Linked DNA regions of Bombyx mori. The protein of the gene in region 1 binds, or shares a complex with, the protein of each later gene. Links are inferred from orthologs where the notes say so. Each region holds a gene or a part of one and is shown in the gene's direction. Other genes may lie near its edges. The genes, in order: U6 snRNA-associated Sm-like protein LSm8, U6 snRNA-associated Sm-like protein LSm6, ubiquitin carboxyl-terminal hydrolase 39, U4/U6 small nuclear ribonucleoprotein Prp4, U4/U6 small nuclear ribonucleoprotein Prp3, thioredoxin-like protein 4A and pre-mRNA-processing factor 6.

Region 1 (2,101 bases):
AAAACTAAAAATTTAATTTAAGCATCATTTATTCAATTTATCAATGTAATACATAGTAATACATAACGGTAATAATAGTAATATCTGTAATATACAGTTGAGGAAAAAAAATCACCCCCACAGAGAATATAAGTAATTGATAATTTCTTGTTATTTTATAATTCACACGATGCCTACAATAAAATACCTGGGTCAATCACGTGAACTTTGTGTTTCCAAATAATGTGTTCTATCTCATTCTCTCGCCGGCTGAATCCTATATATTTATGTGTTTGTGTCTCTATGGACTTATTTTTCGTTTCGTTTAATTTCGTTTCATCGAATTTGAAATCACAACGATTCTAAAGAAGCTTCACTTCAATATATACTTTTTACTCACAAAAGTTTCATTTTTACGCCCCAAAATTTCATTTTAGGTAATTTACCCCGGTTCCCTGGCTGCTGGTGTATCATAATAATTTGTGAATATATGATCCGTCAGATCTTTTCTACCCAATTTACACGCTTTATATTAACTTCACTTGTATGTATGTTTGCAACTGACTCCTTTAGACGCGATTTTGACCCACTTTAAACGGCCAGAATTCATTCAAACTTTGTAGATTTATCGAGGACCGATAAAAAAATACTAATTTGATAAGATTATTCCATTATTCAATTTATAAAATAAGATTTTGGTCAATTTATATAATTTTTATCTATACTCGATAAGGCAGGAATTGATGTTAATGTACTTAATAGTTTTAAAAATACGCTTTTAAAGAAAATTTAAAATACATAATAGTTTAAAAAACTAAAAAAGACACTTTATATAAAATTCAACTAAAAAATTAAAATAAATTTTAATAAATTTAAATTGAAAATAGTGTAAAATATATTTTATTTAAAAAAAAGAGTGGGGTGCTTTTTAAGATATTATTGAAATAATAATTCTTCTACTCATATCTGTCAGAAAAATATTTATAACTAATAACACCATGCACCCCATGCTTTTTTTACAATAAAATATATTTTACACTATATTCAATTTAAATTTATTAAAATTTATTTTCTATTTTTTTAGTTGAATTTTAGATAAAGCGTGTTTTTTATTTTTTTAAACTATTATTTATTATGTAGTAATCATGTAGGTAGTAATAGTAATTGTAGTAGCTATTATACTAATCTGTGTAGGTACACATTTCAAATAATAATCTGTGGCAGCTCCCTGAAATTTGAAAATTTCTTATAGTTGTTTGATGTTGATTATTACTAATTTGAATTTATAAATAAAATAATTAGAATGGCTTCTGGACTCGAAAATTACGTGAATCAAACAGTGTCGGTAATAACTTCGGATGGACGTAATTTTATTGGCACCCTTAAGGGCTTTGACCAAACAATAAATATTATTTTAGACGAATCTCACGAAAGAGTGTTTTCCTCCACAAGTGGCGTCGCTCAAGTAGTACTTGGACTTCACATAATCAGAGGAGACAATGTGGCAATAGTCGGGCAAATAGACGAGTCAATTGATAGCAGATTAGACCTCGGAAACATCAAGGCAGAACCACTTGGACCAATGGTACATTAGAACTAGTTAATAAATGTTTTGTTATCAATCGGTGTTTCATTTGGGCAAATAAATATCATATTTTGTATTCGTCTCTTGTCTTGATTTACTAATTCGCAAAGCAGAATACATATTTTCACCCATAAAAATTAATCTTAGCCCTGGCTTGGGTTTTCCATTCTCTGAATAGGATTTGTGATAGCATGCCCTGTAATACCTGTTAGAATAGACAACACCCTGGATATATGTTCATTTCTTTGAACATAATCCTTAGGAAGTTACTTATGATGCCTATTGTAAACTACCAAATTAAGGGTTATATGTTTTACTCTTTCACAAAATACACATGAAGGTTCAAATACATTAAATCCCTGTATAATATATTCACAGGAATCAAAAATATTCATAGGTACTAAAAGAACCTTATTTCTCATTTGCTAATGGGTCTCATCACAATCAGCTCAGTTAGCCTGTTACCAACACAATTTTTTTAATGTGTTTGTGCTCTAGTAACTGGCATATAAATAACCGTTTTAGAATAAGCATAAT
Region 2 (4,280 bases), on another chromosome or scaffold:
GTGAAGACATTAAGGAAGACAAAGATAATGGTAAAAATGAGGAGTCTACGCCGGCTAAAGCTACCGGCAAGGGCACTAGGAAAAGCACTAGATCAACGAGATACAAACCTAAAACACCTGCTCCACCGCCATTGAAGCAGCCGGCGCCGCGGGGCAGAGGACGCAGGAGTCTATTCAAAAGGCAGCCATTGAAAGCACCAACAGCTACAGCGACTGTTGTTACAAGTGATTCAGTATTTTATCAGGTCTGTTCAATTATTTAATCCAATTAAAATCTGTAGTTAGATATACAACAGCTGTAGAAATATACCTTTTTTTTTATTTTTCAATAATCTTGAGGCTATATCGCATACTAATTATAGTTTAAAAACTGATTAGAGATTAATTTAATTTAAAAAACCCTAACTTATTATTCACAGTAAACATGAAAACTTGAAAAATTACCTCGGTTCTGCTTTGAATAGTCTGTGGTAATTTTTTCAGGGTATGTACATGCAAGTTGGTGATATTGTTTCGATGACTGACATTGATGGTGGCACATACTATGCCCAAATTAGAGGCTTCCTAACTGATGAGTACTGTGAGAAGAGTGCAGCTGTTACTTGGTTATTACCTACAAAAGCGAGCCCACCTCCAGAGAAATGTTTTGATCCTGCTACATATATCATTGGTATGAGCTTTTAATAATATTTTAATTAGAAATACAGATATTTGCAACAGGCAGAAGTAGGTGATTAAAGTATTTATTCAATATCTAAGGCATTTTGGGTGATTTTTTTCATTTTGTAAATTTAGTGCTTTAGATTTTCCACTTGTAATAATAGTGACTCATTAAATGTGTATTCGATCAAAGCTCGTGAATAGCAGAAAACGAAATAAGTCGCTTGACACGGCATTTCTAAAAAGCCTGCATTGTTTGATTTCACTTCCTCTCGTCTTGTTTCAATCTATATCATGTAATTTCATCCCAATATAATGAATATAATGAAATAAACCAACTTAATTAAATTCAGCTTAATTTTTTATTTTTATTTTGTAAATATGATTTTTACTAACTCAATACTGGCAACAATAGCATCACGAAAACTCAACTGCCATATAGCAAAAAAAAGAATAGTGTATATAAAAAATGTGACAGTTAAGGTTAATATTGCTGTAAATTTTCAGGCCCTGAAGAAGAGCTGCCTCGGAAACTGGAATACATGGAATTTGTGATGCATGCTCCATCTGATTACTACAAAGCGAGCAACAGTCCATACCCACTGACTGATAATGAACTGAATAATTATACTGGTTTTGTATGGACTTCGATGGAAGCTAAAGAGAGAACGTAGACTTTTATATTTAAGCAAAGTGAACATTTTGTTACAAAAAAATACTGTTTATGTTTAGTTTTATTACCCCATATACCCCGTAGTTAACATTTATTTAAATTTAGAGCACAATTTGAATTTCGATATCATTCACAGTTATAATTTTTTTTTTTTTTTTCCCTACCTAAGCTGATAGCCCTAGCGGCTGTCAGCGTAACCCTAACTTTAGTAGGTGAGCTCACGGGGCTCAAACCTGACGATGTTGCTAACACGAACCCTAGCAAGAGCCGTGCTTCGCAGAATCTACCACCGGATCGGAAACGCGACCCACTGAGAAGATCCGGCGAGAAACTCAGTGGGCTGTGTCTGAGAGTTAATTTACTCGTCGAGCCCTTCGTCGCAAGCGACGGGTTCGACGAGAACGGTGACCGGTGCTTTAAGTACCTAAAAGCACCGTTAGTGGATCAGGAGGATCCGAGATGACGTGTTTTGGGCGACGTCGACTGCTTTCCATTCTGTCCGCAGGATCGGGAATGTAGTTACCAGCGGCCACGATGAGAGGGTTCTCGTGTCGTGCCGCTTTATCGAAGTGGACAGTTATCAATCATTCAATAACACACATCATTCACTTTAATCATTCAAACCAACCAACATTTTTTTTCCTCCAGAAAATTTGGTATAAGTATTCATAGTAGTAAGTAGTAACTATGCTGTTTCCCTAGATCACTGATATTTTTTTGCCTATCTTTCAATGCCCTTGAAGAAGTGGAGCGTATGGAAGCCCAATTATTTTCAGTTAACCTCTTGGGTATTGCATTTTTACCCTACCAAGAAGTTGTTCAAACTTTGGAAAAAGGATAATAGTAAGTCTGTTGGCGCAACAACTTGTGTGTATGGTGGATGCAAAAACTTCCATCCATACCTCTTGTAGCTTAAAGACGGTCGATTGTACCATATGAGGTTGAGCGTTGTCATATAGGAGAAGTGTGGACAAGCGATTAAGAAGGGCAGGCTGGAGATACAAAAGCTTCTTCATCATTGTATCCTGTTCCTCACCATACACATCTGTAGTAATGATGCTATTTGGTAGGAAGCTGTGATGAATTATACCAGAACAAAGCCACTAAACAGTGAACATGACATATTTAGAGATAGATTTTCATTTGAGGCATTGCCTTTGTACTGAACCTCTAGTCCATGTAATGTCCGAGTGCAATAATTATTCTAGCGCCCTCTAGTAAGCGTGCAATCAAGTTGGACTAGGAACAAATCTAACTGCACCAGGAGGACGGGACGGCGCGTCGGCGGCTGCGGACTGCGATGCGGTCCGCATTTTCGTCGTCGCTGTCGTCGCCGAACATACTGTTGAAGAGCAACCCGGTCGGCGGTGTATCGCGTTCCGACCCGGCAGGCTGGTTCTGGCCCAGCGGGGTATCCCGGAACACCAGCGGCACCACCCGGGCGGCCTGGTAGGGCCGCCGTACCGCGGAGACCGACGTCGTTGGTCGTCGACTATCGCCTCGACGACCCGTCGGTCGGGCGTCCTCGGGGTGGCGCCGCGTGTCTGGTTGTAGTGTTGACCGCGGGAACCCCCCTACACTGAACGGGTTCTGACCCCGGACGGAGATCGGACGTCGGGTGTAAGAGTGCAGGGGAGTCGTTTGGTGGGTGGGCCCTAAAATCCTTGGGCCCGCGATCTGCTCTCAACACCTGCAGATCGCTGAGTCTCACATACCCCGCGCGCCCCCTAGGCGCGGGGACCTCGTAGGAGGTTCGGCCCCCGGCCCGAAAAAAAAAAAAAAAAAAAGGAACAAATCTAACTGATTCATTAAGAATGCAGAGGCCGGTGCACCCTAAAACCGCAGCGCGCATCTGCAACTCACACACACCTCGCACCATAGGTAAAGTCGCCTCTAGTTCTGAATCAGGGTGTGTTTGCAACCCGCTTGATGACCGCTTATGATTATAAACAATAATCCATTTTTCATCGCAAATGACCAGCTTGATGTGACCGCTTATGATTATAAACAACATAATTCATCGTAGATGACAATATGCTTCAAGATACCCTAATGGGGTGACGATCGTTCAGTTCGTGTGGGGGTGCCACATATCAAGTTTTGCCCACCAACTTGACCCAAATGAACTAATATTCTTCTGATCCTAACGTTGAAAGCTGCAAAATGTTTTAAATCAAAACTTCTGTGCTGAACCGTACAGGCCAATCGTGCGTTCTTTTGTAGTGTTCTTTCCGTACATACACATTATTTCTTAAATACCAAACATAATATGAGCCGTTTTGCGGCATTGCCACGGCGACGGAACTCTCCATATTCACTCTTTTCTATCGTGTACATATTGATGTAAGATACATTATATTACAAATGTAGTGAAAACAAAACACTAATCAACAAACAAATAACTGGATTTGAAAATAGAATGTCAAACTTCTCGGCATCCTCCAAAAAGTCCACTGAAAAAGTCTCAGTAAATGACCACCATTTTACTGAGATTATTTTTCATCTCATAACATCTCATTTCAATTCATTACATTTCATTTCATGCCATGTTTCATAGTAATCAACTTCATTTCATTTCATAATATTAATACAATTTTTCATTTTAAAAAATTCATTAAAATTAAAATAAGACGACCTAAAGGTATTAGATACCAAGTCATAAAAACCTTTAAAAAAAGATCAAAAGTAATCAAAACACCCGCTTTGACCAATTTGAAAATTTTTAAGTTTCATTTAATGTATTTCGTGTCTTCAATTTCATCAGAATAATAAATAAACACAAAAAATGAGTCGTAAGGAAGCTTTGTCCTCGTTTATACAGCAGATTCACGGTCGCCCAGTTGTCGTTAAATTAAACAGCGGCGTTGACTATAGAGGTTTGTTTTCCTTTCAAATTTTATTTATTAAGTTAGTAATAACAATCACTTCGTCTTTTAAGAACCACATA
Region 3 (3,983 bases), on another chromosome or scaffold:
ATACTTCTATAATATTAAATGTGTTACAGAATTACGAGAAAAAAATCGCGCGGTGAAATATCGCTGTGCGGACAAGGCCTAAATATTACCAAAAATTGCCAAGTTACTCTATAATTACAATATTGGCAAAATAATAACTTTTTGGCGGAAATTCGAGGAGCGAAGCTTTCAAATATTAATCTATGAGCGTAGCAGTGTCAATTGTTTTATTTAATTTATGTAGTGTCTTTTCAGATTAAAATGCGTAATAATGGTGGTTAATTGACTGTATAATACCTTTGAAAGTGCACAAATGTATGAATATGCAACAAAGCCGTTAAATGTAGCTTCTCGGGATCTTTTTAAAAGTCCATTGAAAAAGTCTCAGAAAATAATTCCCATTTTACTGAGACTATATTTCATCTCATCTCATTACGTTTCATTTCATGCCAATTGATTATTGTTCCAAATTAATCAACTTCATTTCATTTCATATAATCATTTATCATAAGCAAAAAAATATGAAAGATTAGGCTGTATGGTATCATACTTTTGCCTTTCCAGTTCGAAAATAGAACACATACTCCTACTAAAATATTTTTTAATGGATTTTATGACACGGTAACTAAGATCTTTAGGTCAACTCTTAATAAAATTTATATTCTTATTTTTATGAAAAATGATAATATGAAGTGAAATGAGATGAGATGATATGGTATAAAATATAATCTCACTATGATAGTGGTCATTTACTGATACTTTTTAGTGAACTTTTTGGAGGATGGATAAGGTCTCAAGTATAGTTACAATGGCTGTCCCACCCTTCAAACCGAAACGCATTACTGCTTCACGGCACAAATAGGCAGGGTGGTGGTACCTACCCACGCGGATTCACAAGAGGTCCTTCCACCAGTAATTACGCAAATTATAATTTTGCGGGTTTGATTTTTATTACACGATGTTATGCCTTCACCGTGGAAGTCAATCGTTAACATTTGTTATGTATTTCAATAGAAAAATTGGTACCCACCTGAGATTCGAACATCGGTGCATTGCTCAACACGAATGCACCGGACGTCTTATCCTTTAGGCCACGACGACTTCATATTTCATACTATATTATCTCATTTCATTTCATACCACTTCGTATTACCATTTTTCATAAAAATAAGAATATAAATTTAATTAAGACCTGACCTAAAGGTCTTAGTTACCGTATCATAAAATCCCATAAAAAGTTCATTTAACGATTAATATTTACATTTTACATTTAGATTTCAGATTCTTCATTTAACTACATTGTCTAAAGTCTATGATAGTAATAAAATGACTGAAGAACAATCTAGAAAACGCAAAATAACTGATGAAAATGGGACTGACAAACAAGGTACTTGATAATGCAATTCTAACCTTCTATGATTCTGCACTCTACTGCTATTTGTAATCAAAGTATTATTATATTTTCAGGACGATATTCGAAAACTCAACAAATTCAATGTCCTTACCTGGATACTATCAATCGGCATGTTTTAGATTTTGACTTTGAGAAATTGTGCTCGGTTTCATTGACTAGAATCAATGTTTACGCTTGCTTAGTGTGCGGTAAATATTTTCAGGTAACAAAATATTTATGCAATTGTCATGGCTTTGGTGATTAGAGGCTTGAACTTTTTTTTACAGGCAAGTTACTTGTTTTCATGATGACGATTTTTATGAGCGCCAGTGTTGTTCCTGGCATTTCATTCCAGTTCTTTGCTGTAGTGATATGTAAGATAGGTTATTTATGTTGACTTAGGCATAAATTTGAATTAATCACTTGCGAAAAAATCATTAAAATCTATCTACTTTCCAGGGAAGAGGCACCAACACTCATGCCTACACACATTCAGTGGCTGATGGACACCATGTATTTTTGAATCTTAACACATTAAAGTTCTATTGTCTTCCTGACAATTATGAAGTTATTGGTAAATTACATATTTTTAACTTGGTTAGCTAAAATAGCTTTTATGTTAGATATAAATTAATTATAAATAAAATAATAATAAGATATAAATGAATTCGGTCAATTGATGATTTTGTGCATTGAAAATATTTATAAAATATTATGATTAAGAATTGGTGCATTTTACAGTTGTTAACACATGCGATAACTTAAAATAAATTGTTAGACTTTATTTTTGTAAGTAAATTAATAATAAGGAAAATTTGACTGATTTTTAAAATTTTATACACCAAAATGGAATCAAGTAAAATACTTTTAAGCTTAAATTTAGGTATCAATGACTAGAAGTACAGTAAAGCTTTAAAACTTGTAATAGTCTAATGGACAAGACACCCAGTGCATTTGTATTGGGCAGTGCAACTGTGGTGGTGTTTGAATTCTGTTGGCAGGTACCAATTTTTTTAATATGTATTTAACACTTCGTTGGTGAAGGAATGTATCAAATCCATCTTGTGATTATAATAAACTTGCATAAATTATAATTTGTTCTAAGGGTGACTTAAGAGCTTGCATTTGTAAGTACCACCACTCTGCCTATTTCTGCCGTGAAGCAATAATGTGCATTGGTGAAGGGGACAGCTACTGTTGTACTGTAAAACTGAGACTTAGAACTCCTGTTATAGGGATGCGGGTAATCACATAGCATCAGATGAGCCGGGAGCTAATCTACCTATCACAGTCATAAAAAAAGACAATTTCACATTTTAGACTCTTCATTGAATGACATCAAATATGTTTTGAACCCAACATTCACACCTGAACAGATCAAGCTTATAGATACTAACACAAAGATGTCACGAGCCATTGATGGCACAATGTATATGCCTGGCATTGTAGGCCTTAATAATATCAAGGCCAATGATTACTGTAATGTAATTTTGCAGGTCAGTATATGTTTTTATTAAATACATTTTATGATATGTACTGTTTTTATTGTATGATAAATGCGACTTATATTTTTGTTGCCGGCGATCTGTGAAAGTAGATGCGTTACAGTCAAACTGATTCTGTTTTAACCATTATGTATATTTGTAGTGAATAATTACACAGTGCTACAAAGTCTTAATATTGTCACAGTTTTATACTAAATTCATTTTATGATTTTAGTGTTTGTCACAAGTACGTCCCCTACGTAACTACTTTTTGAGAGAAGAGAACTATGCTAGTGTAAAAAGACCACCAGGGGACTCGTCTTTTTTACTTGTACAAAGATTTGGTGAATTATTACGCAAACTATGGAACCCCCGTGCTTTTAAAGCACATGTATCTCCTCACGAGATGTTGCAGGCTGTTGTGCTGTGGTCTAAGAAGCGATATCAGTTTATTAAGCAGAGTAAGATTTTAGTAGTTTTTTGGATATACGAACATGCTTTCTTAGTGTAATTTCTGTATATTATGCTAAAAAGTATGAATATTGATTGATCAGTTTTATATTTTAATTATATATTGTTTTATAATAATAATAAAAATTTATAAATAAATAAATTTTTGCTCAGGTGATCCAATAGACTTTCTGTCTTGGTTTCTAAATTCATTACACATGGCACTGAATGGTACAAAGAAGCCAAATAGCTCCATAATTTATAAGTCATTTCTGGGTCACATGAGGATCTATACAAGGTAAGATTTAAGCATCTGATTTTTTAAAGTTCAAAATAATTAACATTTAATCTATCATTATATGCAGTCAAAAATTTCTGAACAGACTGAAATTTTCAGAAAGTTGCCACCGCCGGATGCTGATGATGCAGCTAAAGTCGATCTTAGCAGTGAAGAGTACAATGAAATGATCACTGAGTCTCCATTTTTGTACCTCACATGTGATTTGCCTCCAACGCCATTGTTCACTGATGAGTTCCGCGAAAATATTATTCCACAGGTGAAAATACCTAGTATTGTTGCAATTTAAAAATTGTATTCACTAACTTTTTTATTTTTTTATTAAGACTGGTTTTTTTATATCAATTCACATCCACTTAAATAGGATTTAAAACAAAAA
Region 4 (3,500 bases), on another chromosome or scaffold:
AATTTGTTTATCTCGATTTGCTAATGGAGTTTCTGGACTGTAATGGTATAATGGGGGTGTCATGGGTAATCTGAAGCAACTGACTGGTTTTCTGGGGCAGCTGGGTTAGTGCTCAGGAGGTCTCTGCTGATCGCAAGCAAAAAAGACGCAATTTCCTGATGTTGAATTGTGAATAAATTCCTATTCACCATATCATGGTGATCAGCATTTGGTAATAAAGTGTAATACTAAAACAAATTGATAAATATAAAAATGAATTAATTGTTGAATTTTAAAGATTTAACAAAGCTTTTCTAGTCTTCATTTGGCTTTATATTTTTTTATTGCTTAGATGGGTGGACGAGCTCACAGCCCACCTGGTGTTAAGTGTTTACTGGAGCCCATAGACATCCACAACGTAAATGTCGCCACCCACCTTGAGATATAAGTTCTAAGGTCTCAGTATAGTTACAACGGCTGCCCCGCCCTTCAAACCGAAACGCTTTACTGCTTCACGACAGAAATAGGCAGGGCGGTGGTACCTACCCGCGCGGACTCACAAGAGGTCCTACCACCAGTAATTACGCAAATTATAATTTTGCGGGTTTTATTTTTATTACACGAATTTAATTATTTCATTTTTATTTTCAGTCTCGGCGAAGATGCTATCAATAAGAAGCTAGAAGAGGAAGAAGCACGCCTGGAAAGAGACAGAGGTAGAGAAGGTACCTGGTACCACGAAGGTCCCCCGACCTTGAGGCAAGCGAGGATTTGGATAGCCAGGTACTCCCTGCCTAACGCCAAAAAAAGGTCAGTTTCAATTAATTCGACTCTACCCGACTGTGATATCTTGGCTGTGTCATCATTTTCATTACTTCCGGAACCTCCTTGCTGTCCCCTCTAAGGTTAGGTAACGAAGGGTAAAAGGCTGTTTGGTTCAGGCGACATTTTTGCAATATTACAGGAGATCTATTTAAAGTTTTAAAAATTTGCCAAAATAATATTTTAACAAAACAAACTTCTTCAGCTATTCGAATGGAGTAAACTTAATCTATATATTAATACGTGAAGCAAAAACTTTGTATCCCTTTTTACGAAAAATTTGGGGATGGAGGAGCATGAAATTTCTCACACTTATAGAGAATTTAGAGAAGGAGTGCACAATGCTAATATTTTTTTTAAATACTGCATAAAAGAAAACATTACATACCCTACATACCATGTATTTGACGCACACACGCATGCATACTATTTATTGTCAAACTTTTGTTCTTGACGTCTGTTGTCAAATTGAGATTAAATATTGTTTGTCTTTATTAATATTTTTTATAGTGTAGTCTTGGCGAAATTTGTGATTATAGAAGTATAAAATACAATCATAATAGTATACAAACTTATAAATTCAATTAATTATAGTCGAATTTCGACTACTGGGTGACCGCTAGTTCAATTAAAAATATCGAAATGTTGATGCTGATTCGAAATATAAAACGGACCTTTGATTACAAAGATAAATGTCTCTTAAACTAAAGAGCCTTACACCACTCGATATATATAGAAATATTGTGGATTCATTCTGGTGTCTTAAATTATGATGGGGGGTGCGCAGGGCCGGATTTAAACTTAATGCCGCGCTCCTGGTTATCGGAAAAAAAATCCGCCCTAATACTGGAATTTTACTTAAACTTATAGTTAATATATTTTATTTAAAAAAATTAAAATATCTAATTTATTGCAGAAACTTTATCATATTTTATGTCATATATTCCAAAAATGTAAATAAATATTTTTGTTTTTTTTTCTAACAATCTTAAATTTTGCACTAAAGGGTGACTAATAATAATAATATAATTAGAAATCACGACTCAAAATATTAAAAAAATATAATTAGAACGATACAAAATACAATTTTCAACAATTATTGATTTTAAATACTAATGACAAAATGTGGGTAACTAAGTTGACACGCGAATGTACAACGTCCGTCTATCCCTGGTGCTGAGATCAGAAAGAGGCCGTGAACGAGGCAATATGTTAGTGGTGTCCTCAACTCCCCTCTTCAACTCCGACCAGTCTGAAGTCGCTGCTGTATTACGTCAGCAGGCCACGCCCACTTCCGTCTTCTTTCCTTAGAATATATTACATAAAAAAAAAACTAATTAAATTTCTTTAATTACAGAAAATAGAAGATCGATTATTATTAAAAAATCTCAAGGAAATAAATTGATTAAATCAATTTTGATTATTAATTTTTACCAAAAGTGCCAAAGTTATAATTCTATTCATGAGTGAATTGAATTTCTTGAATTATCAATAAAAAAGAAAATTATTAATTAATTATATTGAGCAATCTCGACAAGAAAAAAAAATTTTTTTCACTTTCAAAAATTACCACCCTGGGCACTTTCCCCGATCGCCCCTAGTGTAAATCCACCACCACTGGGGGGCGCGACATGTCTATGGACTCGTGTAAGTTACTCGATTATTGTTACAGGCTAAACAAAGCCCGCGAGGAACTCAAGTTGGCTGGCAGTGTGCGCGCCGCCGCTAAGCAGGAGTCGCAACGGAAGGCGTCTGCCTTTAGCATTTACTGCAGCCAGGTGAGGCCCAGGTCGTGGGGGATAGAGGGTACCTAAGTTCCTGCTACACCCCCCCCCACTGTCTCCCTCCCAAGTGAACGCACTTCGTTGGACGGTCGTCGCTGTGGACCCTCAGAAGTTGCAGTGGTGGGGGCCAGTGGGGTGGGTAATATAGAACTAGGATCAAAATGGCCGACTATGACCCTGTGATGTTACGTATCCTAGTAAATTAGCGAAACGCATTACTGCTTCACGGCAGAAATAGGCAAGGTGGTGGTACCTACCCGCGCGGACTCACAAGAGGTCCTACCGCCATTCCTTAGGAACCATGGTGCTGCAACGGATATCCTGCAAAAACGGAACGTCTTAGTTTTTACCGGCTAGGCCCACGTGATGTCGCAGTCACAAGGTTCTCGTGTCAGGGCTGTCTCGTTCCAAACCTGAGCACGTGGCCACCTCGTGGCGGCCCTAAGCGTGCGGGGCAGCTCAGCACATAAATCTGTGGTGCTCTTCATCAGATCGGGGACACGAGGCCGCTGAGCTTCTGCAGGTTCAGCCAGGACAGCAAGATGCTGATCACTTCGAGCTGGTGAGGGTCTTTGCCGATATTTTTCTTCTTTTTTTTTACCTAAGCTGATAGATAGCCTTGAGAGGCTATTTCAGCGTAACTTTAATCAAATCAAATCTACCGCCAATTCATAAAAAGTAGTCCCCGTCTTGAGAAGAACTGGCAAGAAACTCAGCGGGCATGCATTTTTTTTTTTTTTTTAAACTAGTAGGTGAGCTCACGGAGCTCAAACCTGACGACGTTGCTAACACGAACCCCAGCAAGAGCCGTGCTTCGCAGAATCTACCACCGGATCGGAAACGCATCAATGCAAACGCAAAATGTATTAATTGTTAACTAATTCTTCTTCTTTGTCTCCATCTTATCCCCCTAGG
Region 5 (3,500 bases), on another chromosome or scaffold:
AATTCTAGGGAGGAGCTTAGATAACACGTTCACACTGGTATATCGTTATCAAAGTTTTGTAATTGAATTTGAAAAATTAATTACCTAAAGGTGGGTAGTACCTATCTAACAACTAAACAGTGCCAGCCCTATCGAAAAACTCTATTGTCTCCATAGGTGACCCGATTCACCACAAAAGCCAAAGTGAATCAGGTGAAGCTGGTTTTTAAAGTTTTGTATAGATTTTTCAATGAACTATATATAATAATGCGGCGTATATGAAAATTTAAGTATCCGGAACCATTTTAATCTCAATTTTATTGGTATTACCTTGAGAGAAACCGCTGAAAATTTGTGTTGGAATAGGAAAGCGGCCCGATTCCCCCCAATCTACTGAATATATTTTGATACTTTTCCAAAAACACTGCGCAATTCTACTCTGAGCGAACTCCACATTAATATACATAGACGAGTGGGTACTGCGCTTTGTGTGTTTGTTTGTGTATGCGATTATTTATTTTATTTATTTTATTTATTTATAACTTTATATACTAGACAGTATAAAGGCGGACTTAATGCCATTCTTGAGATGAACCTTGGTGAGTGTGGTGTGATAGTGATATTACTTAAACATATGTGTATATATAACATACATCATATTTATAGATACAAACACCCGTACTTAAATAAATACATATACATAAATATATATTTACATATAAAAATGTATATAAATAAATATTATCAATTTACGACTTTTGAATAAAATAAAACCAAAATCAAATCAAGCGCCGAGCTTTTCATTAAGTTCGCGCGCACGTTCTGCTACTTGGCTTCGATCGCGAGCGGTACGAGCGCGTACAATATGCGGCGGCTACAGTGACAGCTGTCACTTTTGACACGTCGTCTTCTCGCATTAAAACTGTATAATCTCAAAACTTACTAATTTTACAGGAGAGTGTTTTAAAGGTTCAACATGTGGTATTTTTAATATTAATAATCATCTTCATCATCATCATGCTTTCCTATTACCCTCTGCTGGGGTGTAGGGCTCGAATCAAATTTTTCCATTTGTATCGGTCTTGGGCAGTCTGTTCTAGCTCCTCCCACGTCATGCCCAAGACCCCTAGCTCCTGCTCCACCGAGCGACGCCAAGTTGTTCTGGGGCGGCCTCTCTTCCTTTTACCAGACACTTTCCAGGTCAGTGCTCTCTTTGATAGGTGTGTATCGGGCTTTCTCAGAGTGTGACCAATCCAATGCCACTTCCGCGTAAGGATCTCCTTCTCCACTGGTGTCTGCCTAGTGATCCTCCACAGCTCTTTGTTAGTGATCTTCTCAGGCCAAAAGATTTTCAAAATCTGACGCAGGCACTTATTCACAAACACTTGAAGTTTTTTGATCAAGTCCTTGCGAACAAACCAAGTTTCGCTCCCGTACAGCAATACAGACTTTACATTTGAGTTGAAGATCCTCACCTTTGTTCGTCTTGTTAAGGTTGAGGAACTCCACACTGGCCTAAGTTGACTAAACGCGGCTCTGGCTTTATTTATACGAGCCGCAATGTCTGCCTCGGTGCCTCCCCTATCGTCCACAATGCTGCCCAGGTAACAGAAGCTTCCCACCTGCTCGATGTGCCTCCCTTTGATCGACATAGGAGCCGAATCGGTGGTATTTATGCGCATTTCTTTTGTTTTTGAGAAATTAATACGCAGCCCTACTTTCATCATAATAATCATCTTAGCAACATTTATTTTTTATTTTTTACCAGTTACATTATCTGTCTTTTAAAGTAAGATAAAATGATGTACTAATTTTGTTAATAGTCAAAACATAGATAAAATAATAATAAAAAAATTCATAAAACTAAACTACGCTCTTTTGACAGTATTTATGAGAAAAATACTGGTGATACCAAATGATTTCGCATATTAACTCAATTTCGAATAGTTTTCAAAATTGTACACTTTTAATGCGAAAAGAAGACTCGTCACTTTTGACACCTGTCAATTTTGACACTTGTCATTTTTGAGATCTGGCCCTATTGGTACCGTCGTCCCGGGGGCAGGTGGGACAGCGTGATCCTGATGACGGCGGACGAGCGGGAGACGAAGCGGCGCGGGGCCGGCGCTGATGGGCGCACGGACGAGCAGCGCGTGGACGCCTGCAACACGGGCGAGGACGACATAGTGGACAACATCAACGAGGAGGCCATCACCAACCTCGTGGAGCACCCGCAGCAGCTCAGGCCGCCCAGTCAGTCGATATTTTTTTTTGTTTTTAGATGCCTAAAGGGGGACGAGAACACAGCCCGCCTGATGATAAGTGGTTACCGCTGCCCATGGACTTCAGCAATGCCACAAGCCTCGTTTGAAGAAGGACATGTTATAGCGCTCGGGAAGCAACGTGGAGTGGTTACCGGAGCCCATAGACATCTATAATGTAAATGCGCCACCTTGAGAAATGAGGTCTCAGTATAGTTACAACGGCTGCCCCGCCCTTCAAACCGAAACGCATTACTGCTTCATGGCAGAAATAGGCAGGTGGTACCTACCCGCGCGGACTCACAAGGACGGCTTCGACGAGGACGGTGACCGGTGCTTGAGGTACCTAAAAGCACCGTTAGTGGATCGGGAGGGTAGTCAACAGAAGACTTTTTCCTCGCAGCGGAACCTCTCAAGCCGACGTTCATGCCGGTCTTCCTGACGAAGAAGGAGAGGAAGAAACTGCGACGCCAGAGCAGACGGGAGGCTTGGAAGGAGGAGCAGGAGAAGGTCAGACTCGGACTGGAAGCGCCACCAGAACCAAAGCTCAGGTGCGTGACACTTCGTAGAACCATTAACAGAGGTAGGGTCTGCAGTAGAGATGAAACGGATATCCGTAACTATACGGTATCCGGCCTATCCGGCCATGTTTTCACTGTCCGGCCTAATACCGGATAGTAAATCAGTATCCGGCCGAATTTCGGATATTCGGATATTCGGTCGTATTAAGCGGTAGGCAGCGGCTTGGCTCTGCCCCTGGCATTGCTGAAGTCCATGGGCGACGGTAACCACTCACCATCAGGTGGGCCGTAAGCTCGTCTGCCTACAAGGGCAATAAAAAAAAATGTAAAATTTAAGAAAATCTCATGGTTATACAAAAGGCAAATAATACCACAATAGGTTATGGACAACTTTTATTTTTATAATCGCACGTCAAAAGTGATTGTGATTAATTAGTTTGTTTAATACTCAAAACTGACAAGTGGCAAATTGTGGTGAACGAATGCCAAATCGTCGTCGTGATCTCCGTTATGTGCGACAACACCCGAACGCGCACGAATATTTCCGAAAGGGCCGAATATCCGGCCTCGCAGTTTGCCGAATATTCGGTACCCGGTATCCGGCTAAACCACTATCCGTTTCATCTCTAGTCTGCAGGAAAAAAAGGCTCTGAAAGCATCGTAAGATGAAATGTTTCAGGATCTCGAATCTGATGCGAGCTTTAGGCACCGAAGCGGTGCAGGACCCCACGGCGATCGA
Region 6 (4,070 bases), on another chromosome or scaffold:
ATATTTTACTGTATTCAACTGACACAAATTTATATTTATATCCAGTAAACTCCAGTCGTGCGTCGGAGCGGACACACACACTTTTTTTTTCTACCTACGCTGAGAGCCTTGAGAGGCTATTTCAGCGTAACCCTAACTTTTGTAGTTGAGCTCGCGGGGCTCAAACCTGATGACGTTGCTAACACGAACCCTAGCAAGACCCGTGCTTCGCAGAATCTACCACCGGATCGGAAACGCGACCCACTGAGAAGATCCGGCGAGAAACTCAGTGGGCTGTGTCTGAGAGTTAATTTACTCGTCGAGCCCTTCGTCGCAAGCGACGGGTTCGACGAGAACGGTGACCGGTACTTGAAGTACCTAGAAGCACCGTTAGTGGATCGGGAGGATCCGAGATGACGTGTTTTGGGCGACGTCGACTGCTTTCCATTCTGTCCGCAGGATCGGGAATGTAGTTACCGGCGGCCACGATGAGAGGGTTCTCGTGTCGTGCCGCTTTATCGAAGTGGCGCATCGACGCCGACTGTAGATACTTACTGATGGACTCTAAGTCCAGGTCGTCATGGAGGTCGACGTTCCTGACGAACCACGGGGCTCCGACGGCTATCCTGCAAAAACGGGATTGAATAATGTGGAACGATTTTAAGTGAGTGCGGGCCGCGTGAGCGAACACTACACTTGCATAGGTCATGACGGGGCGTATGCAAATTTTGTAGAGTGTCACCTTATTTCTAAGGGACATTTTACTTCGCCTACATATCATCGGGTAGAGACGTCCTAGAATGAAGGCGGCACGGTCGCGTACCGTCTTGATGTGAGGGCGGAATGTCATCCTACTGTCGAGGGTGACGCCTAAATATTTGACCTTCGGGGCCCACGGTATGGGCTGGTCGAACATCGTGATTGGGCGAATGGCGGGGGCGGAGGTGTTGACGCGCCTAGTCGGGAGGGGGATGCTCAGCGTGGTGTTCGGAGGGCGACCCCTTTTGAAGAGCACCGCTGTGCTTTTCGTGGGGTTGATGTCGATTCTAGTGACGACTGCCGGCGCAGCGGCTGCGCAGTGTCTGCGCCAGCCGAACCTACGTCTCGGGGGGAGGTGGGAACTATTGTTGTCACCTCAGCGGTACAATCGATAAAATAACTGCTTTGAACATAAATACTTTTGTTTTAAGGTTTTTTTTATTTTCTTTTTTTATTTTGCAGACGATTTCAGTTGTAACATTACGTTACAACACCCGCACGCTAAGCGGAACCCTAAAGTGTCGAACAACGCCGTGCGACCGACGCCGCGACGCCTCGCAGGATTCGTAAAAATACGGAGGGTCGATAAAGAAAAATTGAATAACGCGCACGCGCCGCGCCGGTCGCTGCACAAAATTATTAATTTTATTTAATTTAAATCCTATAACCTATATCCTATACCTATATAATTTAATTTAAATACCTTGTTGTACCTATAAGAGTTGTAACGATAAAATATATGATTAACATTAAAGCCTCAAATAAATAAACTTCACCTCATTTCATCCATATCATTATTAACTTCATATTAAATTGATATAAATAACAGAATAATTCCATGAAAGATTACGCTGTATGGACTGATACCTCCGCCTTTCTTGTTGGAAAATGGAACTGCTACTGTCATACGTCATACTGTGGTCTGTGATTTTTTTTAAGGTATTTTATGACCTGGTAAAAGTCAGTGTTTGTAAATTTACTCATAGAATAGTCATATCTTAATACCTACATATTATTAAATAATTATAAATTTAAAGTTCTCTATTTCACAGAACATTCTTTTTGTTATGAAGTAACAAAAAAGACAACGCCTGCTCTAAACTTTTTGAACACACTTCTATAGAAAACGTGAACAGTGACGAGAAACAAAATGTGAGAATAAAATAACTTTGGAATGTCTTAGATGTGAAAGGCAAATTTCAGTGAGCAAAATAATATCAATATTTGTTCAGTGGTCCTACAACACGATTATATTTTGCTCATAGCAATAGCAATTTCCAGAAAAAAGAATACAGGAATAATCGTTTGTTTGAAATAATACGTAAAGTAGTTTATTTGCAAAATGAGTTATATGCTAGGACATCTACACAATGGTTGGCAAGTAGATCAGGCCATTCTATCAGAAGAAGACCGTGTAGTGGTGAGTTTTAACTAGATTCATAGAATGTAGAAATCTGAGATTTAGTATCTGAAGACTAAAAATAATAATTATATTCTAACCTTACATCAATAGGTATTTGTTAAAGTATATAAATGCAGTAGAAACCAAGACCTTCAACCTTCTAGTATAAAAAACAATAGATTTTGAATTAAAGGAACTAACAAAATGCTTTGAGCCAAAACAGTTAATAGTTATTTAATTAGTGGCCTAATTGTCTTGCCCTATGATTCAACTATATTAAATGTAATTAATTCTAATTTACATATCTAGGTTATAAGGTTTGGACACGACTGGGACCCAACATGTATGAAAATGGATGAAGTATTATACAGCATTGCGGAAAAAGTAAAAAATTTTGCTGTCATATATTTAGTTGACATTACAGAAGTTCCAGATTTTAATAAAATGTAAGTATACCGTAAAACTACTTGTTCTAAATTTATTTCTGAAATTAAGATTTTGATAGGTTTTCTTAAAACCTTTGTGGAATACACAAGTCCTCCTACCTCCAGTGTTTTAAGGAAATTATGTTGTATTATTAAATTTGTTGTTTTATTAATTATTAAAAAAGTATCATAAGTGAAGAAGCAAAGAACTATGAGTTTTCTAGGAATTCTTAATAAGTCTGGTTCATACAGTAAATGAATTTCATTATCTACATTGTTAATAATTTTTTTCAAATTGTTGATTTTAAGACTAGAGTAGAACAGCAGTTCTTGATCACTGGAATGTTGCAAGTCAAGTGTGTTGTGAAAATTAGAAATACGATATTTCAATTTTTATTTAAGGTGATCTGGGAAATTGCATCTCAGGGATACATGTTGGTTAAATATACAATTGTTTATTAAATATTAACCATACAACAGTATTACATATGAGTGATGTAAATACCAACAACCATCACTCCCAACTATAAATCTTTGCATTTAAGGGTGTCATGTATATATAGAGTATGTTAATACATCATTAAGTAAAAAAGGTTGAAAGTTCTAGTCTAGTAGAAAGGGTCTAGTATATAAAATGACTAAGCAAGGCCTATAATAATATTATTTAAACTTATTTCTAGGTATGAATTATACGATCCATGCACAGTGATGTTCTTCTTCCGCAACAAACACATAATGATTGACTTGGGGACTGGCAACAACAATAAAATCAACTGGCCTCTCGAAGACAAGCAGGAGATGATTGATATTATTGAAACTGTGTACAGAGGGGCAAGAAAAGGACGAGGTCTTGTTGTCTCACCGAAAGATTACTCTACCAAATACAGATATTAGTTTAATTTAAAATAATGTTCCACCTGAATGGTCTAGTAATTTGTAATCATATCTGACATCATAGTCATCATAAATTTAGTAATGTAACTTTTTTTATATAAAAATAAGAACTATACATATTACATTATAACTCATGTGTTTTTGGAATTATGCTGTTCTTCCTGATATTAAACAAAGTAAAAGTAGAATAAATGACAAGTTTTATGCTGATGTAGATCCTTTTTTTTGTGTTGCAATATCTTCATCATTGAAAAAAAAAAAAACCATTATCAAAAATACTTTATTTTTATTTTTTATTGCTTAGATGTGTGGACGAGCTCACAGCCCACCTGGTGTTAAGTGGTTACTGGAGGTCATAGACATCTACGACGTAAATGCGCCACACACCTTGAGATATAGTTCTAAGGTCTCAGTATAGTCACAACGCCTGCCCCACCCTTCAAACCGAAACGCATTACTGCTTCACGGCAGAAATAGGCGGGGCGGTAGTACCTACCCGTGCGGACTCACAAGAGGTCCTACCACCAGTAAAATACCAGTAAAAGACCGATAAACGGTCGTGCCAAGGCCAAGAGGGACGAGAAGCCCTAAACACGTCATTTCGGATCCTC
Region 7 (3,500 bases), on another chromosome or scaffold:
CTTCTCAGTGGGTCGCGTTTCCGATCCGGTGGTAGATTCTGCGAAGCACGGCTCTTGCTAGGGTTCGTGTTAGCAACGTCATCAGGTTTGAGCCCCGTGAGCTCACCTACTAGCCACGGTTACGCTGAAATAGCCTCTAAAGACTATCAGCTTAGGTAGGAAAAAAAAAAAAGCAATCGATGCCAACTCAGTGACAGACCTCAGTAAACCTTTATTGTTGAAAAAATTTGTAAGGCTTTCGTTTCGTCGTAGTTTCGTTGGAAATAATCAAAGTTAATTCAAACTGTGCTAAAAAATAATAATATAAGTATGGATGAAGGTACAAATAATTACTTTTTTTTTATATACCACATTTAAAATGTGAATACAATTTCATTTTAGAATTCGAATCTGTAAACAAATTAATTTTACAGGTATATACTTTTGTAAACATTGCAATGATCATCATGAACTTAGCGCACTCTGCTGATGCATTTGAAAACTAATTCACGTTCCAATTAAGCTTCAGCATAATTCGGCATTGTGTGCCACTGAGTCGCATTGTGCTCTGTAATTGGAAAACTACTACTGTATGCGCGCGAGTTCATGTCCATCGGGGCCAGAGGCGATGCGCGGGGGACAGCTCGCCCCACCTTCGCCCGCCTCCCCGCGTTTGTCTGACGTCGAGTGTTGTTCTGACGGTTGTGACGCGAGCTTATCGATGTCATAATTTAAACTAACGCTATTATGTCATTTAACCATAACTACTCCGCTTCCAACAAGTTCAGATAGAAAAAAACCTACTGAAAAAAGATACATACTGACTCCGACTCTGATCTGTCGGTTGTCTTTTCATTTGATAGTGATTAAATTGAAATTTAAAGAATATTTTTCTCTATTAGAAATAAACAAGTAATTAGTTATCACATTTATTTTATTTCATAAATTGCAAAATTACCTTAAGTTACATTTAACCAAATTGACAGCTGTTGACTAAATCGGTAGTTATTATCGACATTACCATAATTAACTAGGTCACAGCACTACCGCATTCCTCAGGATGCACATGAACTCGCGCGCCTACAGTAATGTGTTTAATAAGTGTTATTGTTTGTGTAGTGCGCCACTGAGGGTGCGTTCGAGTGCGCCCGCGCCGTGTACGGGTACGCGCTGTCCGTGTTCCCGTCCAAGAAGTCCATCTGGCTTCGCGCCGCCTACCTGGAGAAGCAGCACGGGACTCGCGCCAGCCTCGAGACGCTGCTGCAGCGGGCCGTCGCGCACTGCCCCAAGTCGGAGGTGCTGTGGCTCATGGGCGCCAAGTCCAAGTGGCTCGCAGGTCAGGGACGATTTATCGATCCGTTCGTTCCGTTCCAGTAACACGTTAGAAGTCGACGTGGCTTAAAGTCGACGTCCGGTGCATTCGTATGTAGCGATGCACCGGTGTTCAAATCCCGCTGGCGGGTACCAATTTTTCAATGAAAGACGTACTTCAGAAATCTTCACGATTGACTTGCACGGTGAAGAAATAATATCGTGTAATTACTGATGGTAGGACCTCTTGTAAGTCCGCACGGGTAGGTACCACCACCCTGCCTATTTCTGCCGTGAAGCAGTAACGCGTTTCGGTTTGCAGGGTGGGGCAGCCGTTGTAACTAACTATACTGAGACCTTAGAAATCAAATCTCAAGGTTGGTGGTGGCGTTTCCGTTGTAGATGTCTAAGGGCTCCAGTAACCACACTTAACACCAGGTGGGCTGTGAGCTCGTCCACCGACCTAAGCAATAAAAACGTAAAGACGAATGTTGCCCATCTCTCTGCCCGTCGGCTCTGTAAGGGCAGTTTGATACGTTTATAGATTTTGAGAGCACTCACACAAAATGAAGTGCTGTAGATGACACGACTTTCGAATTATTTTTCAGTTCAATTTGATTTATTTATTGCTGGCGTGCGGTCCCCTACGATGGTTGTTACCGTCGTAGTAAATTTTCTCAAAATTCGAATATGACAATAAGTACATATAGTCTACTATACATAATATATAGATATTAAAGACCCAAATATAGAGCATACAAACTTGTTTATAACGCGAGAGCTGACCCAATGCTGAAATCGTCACCAACACCCTCAGCAGTTCGGGTCGCTAACCACAGCACCACCGATTGGGTCTATTTGAATAAACCAATCATTAATGTTTCGTTTAGGCGACGTACCGGCGGCTCGGGGTATCCTGTCGCTGGCCTTCCAGGCCAATCCCAACTCTGAAGAGATCTGGTTGGCCGCCGTCAAACTGGAGAGCGAGAACAAAGAGTACGACAGAGCGAGACGGCTGCTGGCTAAAGCTAGGGCTTCAGCTCCCACACCGAGAGTAAGTTTTTTTTTCCTACCTATGCTGATAGCCTTGAGAGGCTATCTCAGCTTTATCCTAGCGTGTAGGTGAGCTCTCGGGGCTCAAACCGGAGGTGTTGCTAACACTGGCCCTAGCAAGAGCAGTGCTTCCCAGAATCTGCCACTGAGAGGATCCGGCGAGAAACTCAGTGGGCTGGTGTAAGTTAAATCAACATTAATATTGTAAGATTCGTCTGTTCGTACTCTGCAATTATGAGACCCACTCTAGGGAGGTCATAGGTCCCCCTCCCCCCGACCGACTAGTGGCGTTTAGCTCTTATTTCACAAGAGTTATAGCTTAATGTCTTTTGACGTCAATTTTTTCGGTGTAAGAACCGATTTTAATGCTTTATTTTGTTTGTTACATTTGATGAATGACGGAAACATTTCTGAAGATGTTTATTTAAAAACATTTACTTAAAGGGGTTCTTGTGAGGCTACACGAGGAATTACCGCCTCCCTGTCTATTTCTGCCGTTAAACAGTAACGCGTTTCGGTTTGAAGAATGAGGCAATGGATGTACTATAAAAACTGATATAGAATAAGCTCGTCTACACGTCGAAGCAATAAATAAAAAAACGATTTCTATTTATTTACTTTTTTAGGTGATGATCAAATCAGCGAAACTAGAATGGGCATTGAACAATCTGGACGTAGCCATAAAGTTACTGGACGAAGCGATCAAAGTGTTCGGGGACTACGCAAAGCTTCACATGATGAAGGGACAGATTGAGGAACAAATGGCCAAGGACGAAGACGCTCACAACACATATAGTCAAGGGGTGCGTATATAATCTTTAATATCTATAATCTAAATAATCTTTTTTTGTTATGATTGAACTTGTATTAGCACCAATAATGCGATGTTTTAATTGGACTTCTAACTTTACTGGTGGTAGAACATCTTGTGAGTCCGCACGGCGTTAATGCATTTCGGTTTGAAGGGTGGGGCAGCCGTTGTAACTATATTAGACCTTAGAACTTATATCTGAAGGTGGGTGGCGCATATACGTTGTAGATGTAGATGGGCTCCAGTAACCACTTAACATCAAGTGAACTGTGAGCTCGTCCACCCATCTAAGCAATAAAAAATAAATAAATAAAAATAAGTTCACTCCATTCAAATAACTGAAGAA

Evidence for each region.
Region 2: U6 snRNA-associated Sm-like protein LSm8 (region 1) and U6 snRNA-associated Sm-like protein LSm6 share a complex: the UniProt entries of both Homo sapiens proteins name them as parts of the precatalytic spliceosome. The link is inferred for Bombyx mori from reciprocal best matches to the Homo sapiens genes LSM8 and LSM6.
Region 3: U6 snRNA-associated Sm-like protein LSm8 (region 1) and ubiquitin carboxyl-terminal hydrolase 39 share a complex: the UniProt entries of both Homo sapiens proteins name them as parts of the U4/U6-U5 tri-snRNP complex. The link is inferred for Bombyx mori from reciprocal best matches to the Homo sapiens genes LSM8 and USP39.
Region 4: U6 snRNA-associated Sm-like protein LSm8 (region 1) and U4/U6 small nuclear ribonucleoprotein Prp4 share a complex: the UniProt entries of both Homo sapiens proteins name them as parts of the precatalytic spliceosome. The link is inferred for Bombyx mori from reciprocal best matches to the Homo sapiens genes LSM8 and PRPF4.
Region 5: U6 snRNA-associated Sm-like protein LSm8 (region 1) and U4/U6 small nuclear ribonucleoprotein Prp3 share a complex: the UniProt entries of both Homo sapiens proteins name them as parts of the precatalytic spliceosome. The link is inferred for Bombyx mori from reciprocal best matches to the Homo sapiens genes LSM8 and PRPF3.
Region 6: U6 snRNA-associated Sm-like protein LSm8 (region 1) and thioredoxin-like protein 4A share a complex: the UniProt entries of both Homo sapiens proteins name them as parts of the precatalytic spliceosome. The link is inferred for Bombyx mori from reciprocal best matches to the Homo sapiens genes LSM8 and TXNL4A.
Region 7: U6 snRNA-associated Sm-like protein LSm8 (region 1) and pre-mRNA-processing factor 6 share a complex: the UniProt entries of both Homo sapiens proteins name them as parts of the U4/U6-U5 tri-snRNP complex. The link is inferred for Bombyx mori from reciprocal best matches to the Homo sapiens genes LSM8 and PRPF6.

What each region holds. Positions count from the first base shown.
Region 1 is NC_085112.1:10,370,994-10,373,094, forward strand, and holds U6 snRNA-associated Sm-like protein LSm8, read left to right. Parts: upstream 1-1,173; 5' UTR 1,174-1,282; coding exon 1,283-1,573; 3' UTR 1,574-1,601; downstream 1,602-2,101. UniProt on the Homo sapiens protein: Plays a role in pre-mRNA splicing as component of the U4/U6-U5 tri-snRNP complex that is involved in spliceosome assembly, and as component of the precatalytic spliceosome (spliceosome B complex).
Region 2 is NC_085134.1:2,613,326-2,617,605, forward strand, and holds the start of U6 snRNA-associated Sm-like protein LSm6, read left to right. Parts: upstream 1-1,480; 5' UTR 1,481-4,118; coding exon 4,119-4,209; intron 4,210-4,280. Other genes in the region: GATA zinc finger domain-containing protein 1, read left to right, coding at 1-245, 484-670, 1,168-1,334. UniProt on the Homo sapiens protein: Plays a role in pre-mRNA splicing as component of the U4/U6-U5 tri-snRNP complex that is involved in spliceosome assembly, and as component of the precatalytic spliceosome (spliceosome B complex).
Region 3 is NC_085121.1:4,081,303-4,085,285, forward strand, and holds the start of ubiquitin carboxyl-terminal hydrolase 39, read left to right. Parts: upstream 1-1,183; 5' UTR 1,184-1,305; coding exon 1,306-1,366; intron 1,367-1,446; coding exon 1,447-1,595; intron 1,596-1,831; coding exon 1,832-1,946; intron 1,947-2,692; coding exon 2,693-2,868; intron 2,869-3,091; coding exon 3,092-3,317; intron 3,318-3,480; coding exon 3,481-3,604; intron 3,605-3,703; coding exon 3,704-3,863; intron 3,864-3,983.
Region 4 is NC_085130.1:18,540,135-18,543,634, reverse strand, and holds part of U4/U6 small nuclear ribonucleoprotein Prp4, read left to right. Parts: intron 1-630; coding exon 631-789; intron 790-1,844; exon of another isoform or gene 1,845-2,473; coding exon 2,474-2,579; exon of another isoform or gene 2,580-3,076; coding exon 3,077-3,147; exon of another isoform or gene 3,148-3,500. UniProt on the Homo sapiens protein: Plays a role in pre-mRNA splicing as component of the U4/U6-U5 tri-snRNP complex that is involved in spliceosome assembly, and as component of the precatalytic spliceosome (spliceosome B complex).
Region 5 is NC_085130.1:18,559,803-18,563,302, forward strand, and holds part of U4/U6 small nuclear ribonucleoprotein Prp3, read left to right. Parts: intron 1-2,044; coding exon 2,045-2,232; intron 2,233-2,643; coding exon 2,644-2,791; intron 2,792-3,440; coding exon 3,441-3,500. UniProt on the Homo sapiens protein: Plays a role in pre-mRNA splicing as component of the U4/U6-U5 tri-snRNP complex that is involved in spliceosome assembly, and as component of the precatalytic spliceosome (spliceosome B complex).
Region 6 is NC_085120.1:13,294,256-13,298,325, reverse strand, and holds thioredoxin-like protein 4A, read left to right. Parts: upstream 1-1,270; 5' UTR 1,271-2,080; coding exon 2,081-2,158; intron 2,159-2,449; coding exon 2,450-2,586; intron 2,587-3,245; coding exon 3,246-3,459; 3' UTR 3,460-3,669; downstream 3,670-4,070. UniProt on the Homo sapiens protein: Plays a role in pre-mRNA splicing as component of the U5 snRNP and U4/U6-U5 tri-snRNP complexes that are involved in spliceosome assembly, and as component of the precatalytic spliceosome (spliceosome B complex).
Region 7 is NC_085109.1:9,946,673-9,950,172, forward strand, and holds part of pre-mRNA-processing factor 6, read left to right. Parts: intron 1-1,098; coding exon 1,099-1,315; intron 1,316-2,180; coding exon 2,181-2,344; intron 2,345-2,969; coding exon 2,970-3,146; intron 3,147-3,500. UniProt on the Homo sapiens protein: Involved in pre-mRNA splicing as component of the U4/U6-U5 tri-snRNP complex, one of the building blocks of the spliceosome.